Linked DNA regions of Drosophila melanogaster. The protein of the gene in region 1 interacts with the protein of each later gene in a pairwise test. Each region holds a gene or a part of one and is shown on either strand. Other genes may lie near its edges. The genes, in order: Cpr67Fa2, CG6688, CG18563 and CG12857.

The links.
Region 2: the proteins of Cpr67Fa2 (region 1) and CG6688 interact in a two-hybrid assay, tested with the Drosophila melanogaster proteins (one large-scale study listed by BioGRID).
Region 3: the proteins of Cpr67Fa2 (region 1) and CG18563 interact in a two-hybrid assay, tested with the Drosophila melanogaster proteins (one large-scale study listed by BioGRID).
Region 4: the proteins of Cpr67Fa2 (region 1) and CG12857 interact in a two-hybrid assay, tested with the Drosophila melanogaster proteins (one large-scale study listed by BioGRID).

What each region holds. Positions count from the first base shown.
Region 1 is NT_037436.4:10,890,076-10,893,068, reverse strand, and holds Cpr67Fa2 (cuticular protein 67Fa2), read right to left. Parts: upstream 1,356-2,993; 5' UTR 1,302-1,355; coding exon 1,290-1,301; intron 1,052-1,289; coding exon 659-1,051; 3' UTR 553-658; downstream 1-552. Other genes in the region: Cpr67Fa1 (cuticular protein 67Fa1), read right to left, coding at 2,459-2,851.
Region 2 is NT_033777.3:23,010,511-23,016,014, reverse strand, and holds CG6688 (uncharacterized protein), read right to left. Parts: upstream 3,604-5,504; 5' UTR 3,502-3,603; coding exon 3,343-3,501; intron 3,274-3,342; coding exon 3,205-3,273; intron 2,100-3,204; coding exon 1,977-2,099; intron 1,865-1,976; coding exon 941-1,864; 3' UTR 540-940; downstream 1-539.
Region 3 is NT_033779.5:17,456,123-17,459,687, forward strand, and holds CG18563 (uncharacterized protein), read right to left. Parts: upstream 1,923-3,565; 5' UTR 1,904-1,922; coding exon 1,748-1,903; intron 1,685-1,747; coding exon 1,634-1,684; intron 1,573-1,633; coding exon 640-1,572; 3' UTR 548-639; downstream 1-547. Other genes in the region: CG5050 (uncharacterized protein), read left to right, coding at 2,354-2,624.
Region 4 is NT_033778.4:14,757,407-14,761,357, reverse strand, and holds CG12857 (uncharacterized protein), read left to right. Parts: upstream 1-1,755; 5' UTR 1,756-1,801; coding exon 1,802-1,875; intron 1,876-1,932; coding exon 1,933-2,683; intron 2,684-2,738; coding exon 2,739-3,236; 3' UTR 3,237-3,451; downstream 3,452-3,951. Other genes in the region: Trs31 (TRAPP subunit 31), read left to right, coding at 3,577-3,752, 3,808-3,951.

The DNA.
Region 1 (2,993 bases):
TATAAATCACTCCAACAAATACCAAGTTTTATACTCGTTAATCGTAGAGTAAGTGGGTACTTTAGATTCGATGAAAAGTTTGTAACAGGATGAAGGATCTGCGATCGATCTGCCAAGTGTCCGTACGTCTGTCTGAACTTTGAGGTCTCCGGAAATATGAAACCTACAAAATTCGAATTAAATATGCAGTTTCCAGACTTTGCTCACAAACTTCAAAAAAATGTTACGCCCACTATTTTTTAAAAATTGTTTGCTCGACTATAGCGTTTTCTCTGCTGTTTTCACACTGACTTACAATTGCATTAGTAAAAAGTTATTTTTATCGATTTGAATACCCGTTTTAAACAAAGGGTATGAAACAGAAATTGTTAAATTGTTGTTATAGATGATGGTTTTTCTTGATTATGATCGTTAAATGTCCTTCAATCATATCCTTGGATTTATGATGCTAAGGAGTTGGGATTTATTTTTTTGATATTCCCCACGGTTATTTTTTGAATTCTGATCTTGGTCCATGTAAACCTAAGCAACGCAAATTTGACTTTTAAGATTGTTTTCTTTACATCTTCGACGTTTATTTCATTTCTACATTTACATTTTTACGATTCGTAATAAAGCTTTTCATATGTATGTTGGCACATTCTAGTCCCGATTTCGATTAACCAAAGACCTTCTTGAGGGCGGGCCTGCGGTACTCCTGCTCGACATACTGGGGATGGGTACGGATGTACTCCAAGCTCCTAAGGATGGCAGCTGGGATTGGGGGAGGAGTGGGCAGGAGAGCTCCCTGTGGCTGGTAGCCGTTCTCGTCGGCCACGTACGAGATCTGGACGAGCTCACCCTCTGGCGAGTACCACGAGAAGCCTCCGTTGGCGTGGTTTCCACCAATTCCGGACTCCTGGGCGGCGATGCCGTTGCTGGTCTCGTACTGGTAGTTGTAGTTGCCCTCGGGCTGGATGTCGGAGCCGATCTTGGTGATGTAGGCACCAGCTTCCTGGTTGTAGGTGGCGGCACCGTAGGCGCAGGCCAGGACGGCGGAGGCGACGAGCATCTAGAAGACAATGTTATTATTGCAATTTGGTTTTTGATGAAATTTCCAATGTCTTGAAAGGCCAATTCTATCCATGGTATCTAAGTCCGGTAACTGTTTTCTATTTTACTTATTTTTTGTGTTAATCCTTATCGTTAGTATAAACTATTTATTATATTGGTTAATATTTTGATATTTTTAGTGTCACTAATTGTCGTTTTCCACTGCTGTGCTATAGTTATCCTTGCGATATACTTACGTAGCGGAACATATTGGCTGATTTGGAGGAGTTCGTGTGTCTGCGACTAAGAGACGACTCTGAATGATGACTCTGTGGCGGGGCAGCAATGTTTTATACGAATTCTCGATACGAAACCCGATCCACCCAAACAACTTTTACGGCAGACGGCAGGAAACTCATATGAATGACAATGGCCAAACTGAGATTGATCAAACTGGAGCGGCTTAAAAAGGTAAAGAGCCAAAAAACGCACTTAAATTTGGCTCTTAACTTTTGCATAAGTATTCATCTGGCAAGATAGTTATATTTAACATCAAATTATGCATATATTAAAAAAGTCATATTCACATATATTTTAATAGTATCTAATAAGTTTTAATTAAGAATTAACATTTTTTAATTGATTAAATTCAACAATCGATCCTTATAAAGTATTATACGATTTATTTCACCAAATTATGGTACAAAATATTAAAGATGAGATAATCAACTCGTTATCATTTTGAAATGAGCAGATTAATTAAACAGATTAAAAGGGCAGTTTAATAAACTAAACCCATGATACTACTGGTAAAACTCTATTTTTTAAGTAAGCAATTGTTTTTGATTAGTTATCTAAAATATATTTGTTCATTTTAAAGGCCATAAAAATAAACAGTTCAACCTGTGTCGCAATAAGGGAACATATTTTATTTAAATAAGTGGTGTCAAGTAGATGGTATTGGTCGGAATAAGTACTACAGATCGTTTTATAGGGCAAGTACCCCTATAATTTCAAGGACTTGATAGTTAATTTCTGCTCGACAACGGATGGAAAGTTTGTGGTATTTAATTTGGTTCTTAAAATCTGACATAGAATTGCCTGTATATTCGCACTATAAAACAAATAGGAAGGTAAAGTAAGCATATCCTTAAAAAAATAGTTTTAACAAGAAAATTTGAGAAAATTGAAATATTAATATAGGTAATAATAAAGGTGCAATTGAAATATGTTTGCTACGTTTCCTCGTGGGATCTTAAACCATATTTCATATATTAAGCACCCATTATTCTAGTTCATCCAAAATGTTTGAAATAGTTTAAACAAACATAGATTTATGTAATTTTTTTCTTCTTTATTTTAAAACATTTTTTAAATCGTAATAAAGCTCTTTTAAAATGTTATCACATAAGACTTCCGCTCCCGCTTAACCAAAGACCTTCCTGAGGGCGGGCCTGCGGTACTCCTGCTCGACGTATTGGGGATGGGTGCGGATGTACTCCAAGCTCCTAAGGATGGCAGCTGGGATTGGAGGAGGAGTGGGCAGGAGAGCTCCCTGGGGCTGGTAACCGTTCTCGTCGGCCACGTACGAGATCTGGACGAGCTCACCCTCGGGCGAGTACCACGAGAAGCCTCCGTTGGCGTGGTTTCCTCCAATTCCGGACTCCTGGGCGGCGATGCCGTTGCTGGTCTCGTATTGGTAGTTGTAGTTGCCCTCGGGCTGGATGTCGGAACCGATCTTGGTGATGTAGGCACCAGCTTCCTGGTTGTAGGTGGCGGCACCGTAGGCGCAGGCCAGGATAGCGGAGGCGACGAGCAGCTATAAAAGCAGGTGGATCCCAGTCAGTTACAAATTGATCATAGACGTTTTTGGATTGAGTCCATAGGAGTTTAAAATATTTTAAGATGTTTAAAATATCTTAAAGAATTCTAAACACAACTCGTTTTAGGTCGAAGTAAAT
Region 2 (5,504 bases), on another chromosome or scaffold:
TTGTTCGGCACATCAACAAAGCAGAAAATAAAATTCAATTAACGCGCTTAAATTAAACTGCCACTTCCTGTTTTGATGACATTTTCATGGCAGCCTCGCTCCGGCGAAGAAGCAGCGGGAGGCCATTCTGCAGCGATAGGAAGAATGCGGTTTGGAGTAACTGAAGCCTGTTGCTGGCGTTGCTCGCTCCTCCATTGATGCGGTTCGTCCGGCATCAATATTAAATGGTAAACGGCCGGCATAATGGCTGTCCAACTGCGGCTGTCATTATGGGGCCATCAGGAACCACCAGGACCAAGAAACCAGGGACTGGACAGGTTCCATGCCTGCTCCCGATGACAAATAAAGCTCATTACGCGCTTGTCCGGCATCCTTCACTTTGCCACTGATTGACCTGCATCTGCGCGTGGCGTCGCCGTCAGCAGTCATAAGTTGCACTGCACTGCGAGAAATGTTTGTACTTTGTGCCCTTGAGTATGCAGTGGGAAAAGGATTTTAGAATGAACAAGTACTCAAATAATGTTGCATATTCTATTGATCATTTGCACAAAGTCCAATTGACTTAAAATATTTTTATTCCTCTTGCGACGCTCCCTGAATGCAGTCCATCCGGACTTCATTATCGAGCTGACCAACTCGGACGCCAAATGACACAAAGTCATTGGAGCGTTCAGGAGTGATTCAATTAGAACTCAACTTGGCCAAGTTGAACTCTTCGCTGCAGTTAGCTGGACCAACTTCTTTGCATCTCCAGCGTGGGCCTTTGTCCCGGCCTGACACCCATACAATTCCTTTGGCCGGGTTCGTTTCTTTGCGCGATAAGCAACTTTGGCCAAGCAACTGGCATTTAATTTAATTAGAAAGGAAAACAGCAAGAGGGGCGGGGGGCGAATTGGGGACGCGCCTGATAAGAGGATGCTGTTGATTGAGATGCCCGAGCTCAAAGCAGACGGAAAGCGGATTTGTAGCAGCAGTTCTGGTGGAGGTCCTTTGCAGGATCCTGTGGATCCTGCAGCTTGCAGGGACAGCGGTACAACAGCGAGGCCGGCTTAGTTTGGACAACCTGCTGGGGCAAATCTTGGCTTGGAGTGACAGGAGGTATGCGAACGGGTTGCAATCCGGAAGATTCATTGATGCCCGGGCTAACGGAGGCTGGTAGCGGAGGGCCATGCAAGGATGTGGCAGAGATGTGGCTGCTGTTCGTTCCGGATTCCTCGTCAACGCCCTCGGCATTCGGCTTAACTCCTTCCTGCTGTAAATCATTCGTCGAGAGTGAAGGATGCGCCGCATTCGCGTCAAGCGTGGCATGCATTGTTGTCCTTTCGGGGGGCGTGGCTGTCACTGGCGATGTTCTGGCCGGGATTTCACTGGAGTCGCCAGCGACGTCCGTGGTATTAGTCCGCAGCAGAGTAGCGGCATTCGAGGGACTGAGGTTATCCGTCGAGTAGGCGCAGCCCTCAAGCAACTTGGTTAGGAACTTGTTCGTTGGCAGCACTGGCCTGCGCTTTCGCCAGGTGTCCTGTCCGGTTATCCTGTCCTGTCGGCCCACGACTGGCCGTGTTATCCCGGCAAAGAGCTTCTGCCGCAGCTTGTTCTCCGAGCGGCACATCTCGAAGGCGTTGGCAATGGTCAGGAAAATTTGCTCCGCCAACAGCGCTCGGCGGGGAGTGTAGAAGTCCCGGCAGACAGGACATCGCTCCGAGCGGATGCGACAGTCCACGCAGAGCAGGTGTCCGTTTTGGCACTGCATCGCCGGCGGTGAGATGGTCACCCCGCAGACAGGACACTCGACGAGGCGCAGGATGCTCTCCAGGACGAGGGACAGGCGGCGCAAACTGGTGGGCATGGGGGCGCAGCAGATGCTCTATGGATTTTTGAAAAAAATATTGTGTTAGCGCGATTTTAATGGGGAACGGATAACTGAGTGTGTTTGATGGTTTAAAGAAGGATTTCAGGACTGCAATGAAAATACTCACATTAGTATCACAGTCCTTATCACATTCACTGTTCCAACAGAGAATTGTGACGCAGTCCTTTTGACTCTTCACCATTTTGGCGATTTCAGACACTCTCAAGCCTAAAACATCGTTGCCATTTACCTGGAAATAAAATATTATAGAATTTTATAGAAAATGTCTGGAAATGTTGTTTATTTATTTTAGGAAATAAGTGCCATACAGAAAGCAAGTACCAAGTATCTAAATATTTGGATTTCCACGAGCTACCAAAGAAAACAAATGAATACCACAAAATATGGCCAACACAATTACAAATTCGAAAGCACTGCTTGCGGCTGTATCGCACGCACTGCTTGCGGATGTTAACCTTAGCTAGCACTGTTAACTCAATTGGCTGTTATCTGTTATCTGATAACTGATATTTGCTTTGAATATTTACTTCGTGCTAATTAATCTTTGTCATCAACTAGTTGTTTTACTACGTTCGAGTTGTGTCATTAGTTTTAGGGCGGGCTGTGCATTCACCAGCTGTTTCTAGTTCCCCACTCCACATCCAATAAAGTTTCTAAATAAAGTCGATGCCGAGCAATTAAGTTTTACTGCATTGCTATTTTAAGTAAACAATATCCACGAAGAACAACAAATGCGGCTACAATAGCGGCTGCAAAGTCCAGACTTGGATATATGTACGGTCCAACTTCCATAGCTCAAGCTATTCGTAATTTAAAAGACCATAGCGATTTGAATTTGTTTCTAGAAGTGCAAATCATCATATTGGAATGCTTTCCTGAATAGTACTTTTTATCTTAACTTACGATTCACACAAATTTGTAGAACTTATTGACTTGAAAACTCGCAAGTATACATAATTAGCTTTACAACAAAAACTACATTATTTTTCTAGCTGTTAGCTAACAAAAGGAACTTTTTTCTGATTATAAATATATTATAATTTTAATGGGTTCCTCAAACTCTGTTTTCTTCTATCCTAAGTGGAATGCACATAGTTGGGAACCTGAGTAGCAGTCTCAATAAGCTCTTAATAGGTTTACAAAGTAAATCCCCGCGTCGATCTATTGCATTCTTAATTTTGTAACTGGAGTTCAGGCGCAGATTGAGTTACCAATGCAGTTTAGTTACCAATGCAGTTGGTCTGCGCTGTGCATAATCCGCCAGTCCATTGCTGGCTGAGAGCTGAAAGAACTGACAACGGTGGCACCAACCTGTGGCACTAACTTCTACTCACCTCCAGAACGCAATCGCCGGGTTTCAGGCCGCAGAGAGCGGCAGGTGTGCCGGCTGCCACTTCGCAAACCTGTCGGTGTAATGGGTATATGGTAATTAGGAGGGGACGGGATCTCCAAACGATGGCCACTTTTATTACCCAGGGATAGGGATCCCATTTGCTGCGGGTCAGCTGAAATCCGTAGTTCTCCATCGCAGGTGCGGCTCTGGGAATTCTCAGTAGTCGCACGGAGGAGCCATCGCCATGCTGCCCATCTTCATTGGATGTGGAATGAAATCCTCCCGCTGATTTCCTCATTTTCGGGCTAGAAAACTCGCACAGGTGCTCGGATCGTTGTGGGCCAAAATAAAAAGCGGCTAGCGAGAGACGTGTTCAACGTGCGCTCTCAGTTGGCAAACTGTTTTTCGTCTGTCTGTTGATTTTTTTTCGAGCCAGCTGGCTGGCTGGTGTATGTGGCTGGCTGGCTGGCTGGCTGGCTGAAAAGTTGCCGAGCGGCGAGCAGTGAACATGGAGCGCTTTGGGCCGACGCAATCGGCTACGACAAACATTTTGGCCAAGCTCCCCAGCATCACACATTTAACCCCTTCCACAACTTAATGACTTTGGGCCATCTGACGCGGTGTTGTAAGTGCTCGGCGCCAAAATGTGGCTGCGGTTCAAGATCCGAGATTCGGAATTCGAGATCGGAGATCTGAGATCTGAGTTCCGAGATCCAAAGCTGACACCCAGCTGAGATCATGGAAATGAGACTTGTGGAGCTAAGTAAATATTTGAACTTTCGGGCTGGCAGCGGTTTTTGGGTGCGCTATAAAGTTGCATGTCTACGTATTGTGACACCTTCAAATATACCGAATAAATAAACAAATTCTTCAGCGATTAAGTCATTTGATAACCTGGTAAATTAGTTGGTTCGAATGTGCAGGCTGCTACAATTGTGCGGAAGTGAAATCGAGAACATGGCCAAATACAATAGTTTTCATAGAAACCTTCGGCTATTTCTCTTCGCTTTTCATGGAAACCTTCTGCTATTTCTCTTAAATTGAAAACAATAAAGCTGCGCTTATCACTTATACCATGTTTTGTTACTAGAGATTAAAACTATTAAGGTAAATATAGCAAAACAGCCCAAACAAATATAAATAGCCAAAATAAACTGAACAAGACCTGCAAATTAAGTGTTAAATTGTATATTTATACAGTTTGGTTACGGTTTTGGCACAAATCGTAATCAGATAAAATCGCTATTAGCAGTAATGCACACGAAACTTAATCAGTTTAATTCCCATTTGTTGACTTTAAAAGTTTTCCGACTTTGTAATTAAATTTGAAAATAAACAGCACTATTTTTCGGCTTAATTGCGTGTTGGCAGTGTCAAATGGCCAGTGCATTTGCGATTGAGTGGCCAGCAAGTAAACCAAAATATTATTATTCGAAATGCCAAAAGAAATTAAAACAACAACGACGAGTGTGTTGGCACCGCACTAGGGTGTCAAACGGCGATAAACATAAACAATGGGGCCCTAAATAAATAATTGGGTCTAAAACCGGCTCGTCGATTAACCCTAACAATGATAACTGATGGAAATTGGCAGCTGACAAATGGATTTGGTTTGGCATGGCCAAACCATCGACATCCATTTGACTTTCGCTTTTTTGTTGTTTTGTTATCGCCGGTTTAACTGCCATTGAGGCGGTAATTTGAGTTTGGCGCTGCTCTGGTCGTCTAAAACATTGGCCAAATAGCATTGAAATTGGTAATTTCATTTAAATTTGCGCCCAGCAAAACTGACCCTGGGCGGCATTGTGGTGCGTGGTGTGTGTGTGTGTAATTTGTTTTTGGCTTTTCAATTTGCCAGTTCAATTAGATTTGGCCAAATTTATGTGGCACGCAGAAGCGTTCGGCAGCCAAAAGCCGTCAGCAGTGTCAAAATTAGAGAATACTTACCCAGGCAATAACATCGAAATTCATGTTTCTCGGAAAGCCATCCACCTGAAAGGTAATTGACTTTTATTAATCGGCCAGCAATTAGGCCGGGCCCAAAGGCAAATGGCCAAATTCAAGTGCAATTCCGCCTCTTCACACTATTGGCTCTCGACTTGTTTGTGGCCAGTAGATGCGGTTTCCAAAAAACAAAATAAAACGATGAAAAGCTCGCTGAAGCCAAGTGCAAAGCTCTGCCCACAGGTGGCGCTCGCTTTAAGCCAAGTTAGTAGGTCTGCTGGTCAGCTGTGAAGAAGTCGAGCCTCAGTTTCTTCGCAACTCGCATTCGGTTAAGTGAGCATGCGCCGCAAGTTCCGC
Region 3 (3,565 bases), on another chromosome or scaffold:
TATCCATTAAAGTTTTCAAAAAAAATGTTCAGATTAATTAAACTGGTAACGATCATTCCCAGGACTATACATATATATCTCACAGGATTTGATACGCTTAATTCTAGCTGTTACATACCTTTTAACTAATCGAGTTATGTATCTACCCTTTACCTTTTCGAGTAACGTGACCTGTATAACACGTAATAAAGTTTCAATATAAAAAAAATTTTTTTTTTATGTACGCATATATAAAAAAAAAACATAAAGAGGAAAGAACTACAAATATGCGTACAAAAGAATTATCATCTGAAATATGTACACATTTATATACATAACACTGACCTTAGGATGCATGGATTATCGCCGAGTGAAATGCCTATTTTTTTTCCAATTTGGGATTTTCCTAGCCACTGTCGATTTGTACTATTTTTCCTATTTTTTTGTAAATATTTAAAGCTATATAAATGCAACGCTATATATTCAGCTGAATATTATGGACATCGATTTAAAAATCTTTGCTAATATCGTCTCAAAAACCTTTTTTAATGAAAAAATTTTTAAATTTGATTTTGATTAAAAATTCATTTATTTTGTATATTTATACAATAATGCATAATCACAATCTTAATGAAGAATTGATGTAATAATCTTTAAGCGTTAGCCAAAGTATGCTATCCTATTATAAATCCAACTTCTGAACATTGCCACATTGGTGTAGATTCCCGGGAGGTCCAATCCACACCCCATGCCCCAGGCGACGATCCCAGCCTGCTCGAAGACGTGTGGATTCTCATCTCCGAGGGAGCAGAACAATGCATAACCTCCACCGCCAAAGCAGAAATCCCGGTTTATTTCACTTCGGGCGCAAATCAGACTCGGATGAAGATCAAAATTCCTGCCCAAAGTTGTATTTCTAAACTGAGCCACGCATGTCGTTCTGTCCAACACGGTTAACTCTAATTTCTTTATAATTCTCATACGGCTTTGATCATGGGAACTCACCAAGTCCCAACCGGCAACCGTACAGCGACGTCCCTCGAACGACGCTTGTCGGCTTGGCAACGTCAATACTCCAATGCGATCGTTTAGCACGAACGGTGTTTTTACGAAAATAAGAGCCACATTATTAATACCCGACTGAAAAATGAATCCTTCATGTCTCACAATCCTTTCAACAACGCGCTCCTCATACTGAATGGGTTCATTTGTTGTGTTCATGACAAACTCGCCGGCCCTAACCACAATTCTATCTTCATTCATTTTGTTCATTGTGTTGTGGGCTGCCGTTAGGATCACTTTTGGACTAATTAGTGAGCCGCCGGTCAAGTAAACTTCTTCGTAAAATAGGGCTACCACCCAGGAATATAGACCAGTCGTATTGCACCTGCCTCCTGGCTGTGTCCGTTCAGTTGGCTTTGGTTGCTCAGCTTGCGCACCATCATTTGTTGGGGCGCCCGATCCTTTAAGTGGCCAATAAGTAATGGGTACATCAGGTTCCGTAGAAACATTGTTTTGGGGCTCACTTGAGACTGTTGGTCTCGTTGGAAAATAGATAAAGGTTGGTATGTTTTCCTCTTCTGTAGAAGATGACTGAAAAGTTGAAAATTTAATATTAAACAGATTCAATTGCAATTTAAAATAATAAGCATACTGCAGACTCAGAATCGGATTCCTCATTCGGTCCGCTAGGGATATAAGGACTCTGCAAATTATGAAATATTAATTCCAAATCTGCGTACAGGGATTCTAATCAAAATATATACACCTTTATGATAATGTCACAACAGACGTGATTAAATGGGCAACTATTTAGTTTTCGACTTAGTATTAAGCACTTCTCCATAGGGACACAATACCTACAGGCTTCGCCCGAAAGGACGCAGAATAAAAGAATAGCTGCTGTGGCCACGATCGATCCCATGTTTGCTCGGGATGATTAAATTGACTGAGAGATAGAGCAAGCTTTCCGATGCTTTAGTACACTTTATATTATATTAAGTCTTATCAGTTACAAAAAAAAAAAAAAACAATATGTGAAAAGGAATTTCTGTAAACATTTTTCGAAATTTTTTCATAATTTTATAAGTCTTGTAAATTTTTATCGATTTGCAAAAAAAAAGCTTTTTGCCACGCCCAATCTAACGAGATTTCGCCGCCGAAATCTAAATTTTTTCTCATTTTATTCCCAGAATAATGATGAACTTTCGCATTCGCATTCACATTAGCTGAGTAACGGGTATCTGATACTCGGGGAACTCGACTGTAGCATTCTCTCTTGTTATATTTTTATCGTTTTGTTTAAATTATATGCTATAATTATATGCTTATATGCTATAGGCTAATCTAATTCTTATTCACTTTCCTACTTAAGGCACACTGGAGAATTGGAACAATTGCGTGAGAGTGCTCAACAAATGTCGAACGAAATCACAGAGTTGCGCCAGGAGATCAACCGAAATCGCAACGGTGTCTTCGGTGATTCCTGCTGTCGCCTCGGACTCGGACGCCTCCACGACCATGTGATTGCGCCCTTTCAAGGCAACCATATCTGGATAAAACTTCGACGCTATTCCTTTAACGTGATATATTTGTTTGCTTTGTATCTGCTGCCTGGAATGTCTCTCAAATATCGTCAAAACTAAACCTAATTAAATAAACTTTCTATAAAAATATTTTCAAACAGTTACCAAATTAATGTAATCCCCAATAATCCCCCAATAATTCCCCTATTATGGGGGAAGAGTCACAGTGCTGTTTGCGTTGGAATCGTTTGTGGTTTTCTGAAACCTATGTTAACATGCAAATGACTATTGTTAACTTGCTTAACTTTTTTTTTTTTAGTGTAATGATAAGGTAAGCCTATGGTGGGTGTTTGTAGAGCTTGACACAGAACTTTAAAACATATTTTAGTCATTGCAACTGGGTCTTTAAGGTTCTACTTAAAGGAAATCAGCTAGAAATTTACAAATTATAAATTAAGAACTTTAAAAGTAATAGAGAGATAACTTTTCCCTAACAAATGCGTAAATAATTAAATAATATATAAATAATAAATAACAAACAGAAATTGAATACGCTATCAATGCCTTTTTTATAGGCTTATTAAACTTTGGCTTTAGCAATTTTTGGAACGTCAATTAATATTGATAAGCTAAACAAAAAAATGTATAAGGTCGTTTCTGGGTATTGGTATTGGGTAGGCTAACACTAGAATATTAGAATACTAATATATTTTATACTCTTATTGTTAAATAAAATAGTTGGTGGCCTAAAAGAACACCTACTATACATATACATAAGATATATTAAGACGTCACTTTGAACGGCAGTCCACGTAGTAACGAAGCGCACCAGGAGTGTACGAAGGCTTTGATGGTAAAATCATAGTGATACACGAATCGAAAGATTGTTTTTTTTTTTACCTTTTTAAGAAGAGTTTTTGTTTCATTTTATATATAACGCAGATTCCAAAAAATAACATTAAGAAAACAATCTAAGCTCATATTTGCTAGTTTGTTTATTTTCACATATTTTGCAATGAGTATTTTGTATAATTTATATATATTTCTGGGCTATCCCTTGC
Region 4 (3,951 bases), on another chromosome or scaffold:
GCTTAATTATAGTTTTGTAAAAACGGGCTATTTGTTTTTATTCGTAACTGAACACACATTTTTTTGAAAAATCAAAATATTATACAATGATTGTTTTAGTTTTAGTTGTTTAGGGTTTTTTGCTATTTTACACTTGCTTGTTTACAATTCGAAATTGGAGAACAGTATTAAAAGGCCAAGGCGAAGGCAAAGGCGAAACGAGAACTAAATATATTTAAATGCGATTTTCTCTGCGCGATTCCAATTTGTTAATCAATGTCACGCGCTCAAAAACTCACACGAAAAGTTCAAACAAACGGCAACCTGATGCGCAAATGAATAAAAAAAAAAAAATCGAGACACGCAACAACTCGGCAGAAGAATTAGTGGACGACGACGACACGGCTGTCGAGCCGTTCTTCTCCGAACCTGAAGAAGAATTACAAATTGTATTCGATTTACTCCTCTAGCAAAAGAGTCTGCGGCAATGCTCAAGTTTTGTGCGTTCGCTATGCTCGGCAATTGTTACTTAAATGTGCTTTAGTTCAGAACTATGTACCCATTCGGTTGCCTTATAAAAAGGATGTTTTTGTCTCTTCTTAGGGCTCATGAAGATTCAAAATATTCCTTTTGCCCCAAACTCAAAACGTTTGTTTTCCAAAATCTTTTGTTCAGACGTTGAAATAGAATGAGAAACCAATTAGAATTAGAGAGTCGATGGACAAACAAAGAGCGCAGCATTGCTCGATTGGAAATCTTTTGCAACTAAATAATTCTAGAATGCGAAGCAATTTGTAATTTTTATTGAAATGCCAACAACTTTGGGCCGTTTATAAAATGGCCGAAAGAGGAGGCATTTGAGCAAAGGGGTAAAAATAAAACAAAAACAAAAAACAAACAATTTAAGTGTTTTCAAAAAGTCAACAAACTCATATATGCAGCTATATATATATATAAAAATAATAAAAAAAAAAACATTAATTTATTTCTTACTATATAATTATTGTTGTACTAAGTCGGTGAGAAAACCCATGAAAGAAAGAAATTCACACGAAAACTAAAAAACAAAATGCATATTTATTAAAAATAAGCAAAGGTTGTGCAAAAAAAAAACACATTAAAAAGCAACATTATTATTGTAAAAATTAACTAAATACGGCAATTGTTATTAAATGTGCAAAATTCAGCAAACACATTGATACAAACCTCAGAAAATACAAGCCAAGATCTGAAAACGGACATCAATGGAATGCAAATTTTTGAAAATATAAGGCAAGATGAACCGTGAACGGATCAAACAGAAACGGAAACGGAAACAAAACACTCAACAACAAGAAGTACAAAATGTTAAATATGTATCTATAATTTACAATTACGTTTTATATTACTCTCTAATTTACACGCTTACACAATGGAAAAATAGCTAACTATTATTGCAATCGTCCTCAAACACACAATAAAACTAGATCAAAAGGCGGAATTATTACTTTAGCTAAAATAAAATATCACCTTTTGCAATTTGTATCATTTTCTTACCCTTATTGTTTCACATCGAAATCAGAAAAAATAGTTAAAATAGCCGCATATACTCATATTAAATTGAAAAGAAACGTGTCATTGCAGAAAAGGATAAAGAAAATAGTAATATAAATGATATATTTATTCATATAAATGTATTTGAAAATGTGAACAAAAGAATACCAACAATAAAACACAATTTAATAAACAATGTGAAAGCTACGAGTGTGTTTTTTTTTTAAAACACTTAAAAACACAGTAGCCGTGCAGTCAAAAATCCAAAACAAGAAAACCAAATTTCGAAATGGAGGAGCTAATGAGGCAGAACGGACAGAAATGCGAGAGGCAGGAACTCACCTGCAGCGTTTTATTTACCAAGTGAGTTAATCTTAAACCAGTCGGAGTAATCTTAAAATATTTTCCTTCTCCTTGCAGTCCCAAGCTTAGTGCCGAGAAGTTATCCTCCAATGATGAAATAAACTCCATTGCGAGATTCGTATCGAAGGCGGAGGATCTCGAAATGCATAGAGTGTTCAGTAAGATATCAAAGAATGGTGTCGAGGAGACCACGTCTCTGAATCGCTCCCTCTTCGAGTTCGGTCATAATTTCGAGGATGCCGATGGCTGGCTGAAACTGGAGCAGCCTTGCAAGGATCGGCTGGCCACGGTGCTGCGCTACATGTTCGAGTCCCATCTGAAGACCACTGTGCAGATAGAAATCAACAATATGTACTTCAATTGCCACTTCATCGTGCTGCAGGTGTACTCTCGCTTCTTTAGTGAACTGGAGATGATTCCGCTGCTGGTCACCCTGCCCGAGAAGATCGTGTCCCAGAAGGCCTTTATGCTCTCCTACAAATGGATGCTGAGCGATGAGCCCGTCCTGGAGCTGGCTCACATTGTGGAGGTCTATGTGGCCGCCACTTATTTGAGGATCTCTGGTCTGGCGGCGCATTGTTGGAAATATTTCGATGATGAGGAATACTACAACGAGGATACGGCATGTGTCCTATACGTCGAGTCGAAGGACAATCCCGCCATGGATGTAGTTCGCAATTTGATGCTGACTAGGATCCGCAAGTTTCTGCTCACCTTTGTGGCCACCAGGGATTTCCTCGATCTGCCGACCTCCCATCTGATTTTTTTGCTCGAATCCGATCAAATCTGTGTGAACACCGAGATTGAGGTGGTGTTCAACATAATATTTATAGTTATTATTGCATTTTATATGTTTTTCTTAGGTTTTCTTTATAGCTGTTCGATGGCTGGGTCACGATTGGAACAAGAGGAAAGTGCACGTACGTCGTTTAATGTCCTGTATTCGATTCAACCTGATGCCATTGTGGTATCTACTATATGCGCGACGGGAGGAGGATCACCCGTTGGTGATGAAGCTGATTTTCAACCCGGAGGTGGAGTACAAGATCGACGAATCCATATCGAGAATAACGTCGCGCATGTACGAGGATGCCTTGGAGGGCAATGACGCACAGAGTGAGGAATACGCAAGTGATTCCGGACAGCGAAACTGGATATGCGATAGCTTGTGCAGCTATTATCACGGCGTCGGTTGTCCCAATACCCGGGAAATTCGTTTCAAACACTTCGAGGATTACCTTTCGGAATTACAACAATGCTCCAAAGATCACTGGTCTCAGGTGATATTTCAGGACCCGAGTAAAAAGATTGACTGTTGCAGCACAAGGAAGATAAAATCGGACGATTTTGTTGCCGATTAACTATTGAGTTTGAATAGTAACGACTAGAATTCAAATTTGCGGGCTTCAGTTTGTGCTAGTATAACAACTTGGCACACTTTTCTGTTATACATTGTACACTTCGTTCATTTGATATTTATGAAACAAATCAGCATATTTTTAATAATATATTTTTTAAAATGTACATCAACATTTTAAAAAAAAAGCAAGTGGTTTAATAAATATAATTAATATTTATTGTATTATTGTCGCAACTTTAAGTGTGACCATTTCTGCAACGCTCTTTGGCATTTCGGGCAGATAGGGTGGCGTGCACACTTTGCATTGTTTTGGAAAATAATTTGATACATTTATCAGGAAAATGGAAAAACTGGAGGCCCTAAAAATATCCTCGATGCGTCCGCGCAGCAACATCCTAGACAGACCACTATCCAAGGGCAAAACGGAGGTTTCCCAGAGCATTGTGGCGCTGCTTTTCAGCGAAATCGTCCAGTACTCGCAGAGCCGAGTGTTTACAGTCCCAGAATTGCAAACAAGGTGGGAGTTTCTCTAAGTTTTTGCGATTAATTCGTTAATTCCAAGGCGTTTTCAGACTCCACGATCTGGGTCAAGATGTAGGCACCCGCATAATCGACCTGTATTTCGTGAGGGAGCGCAGCTCCAAGCGAGAAACAAAACTAACCCAAATGCTTCTCTTTGTTAAGACCACGGTGTGGAAGAATCTCTTTGGCAAAGA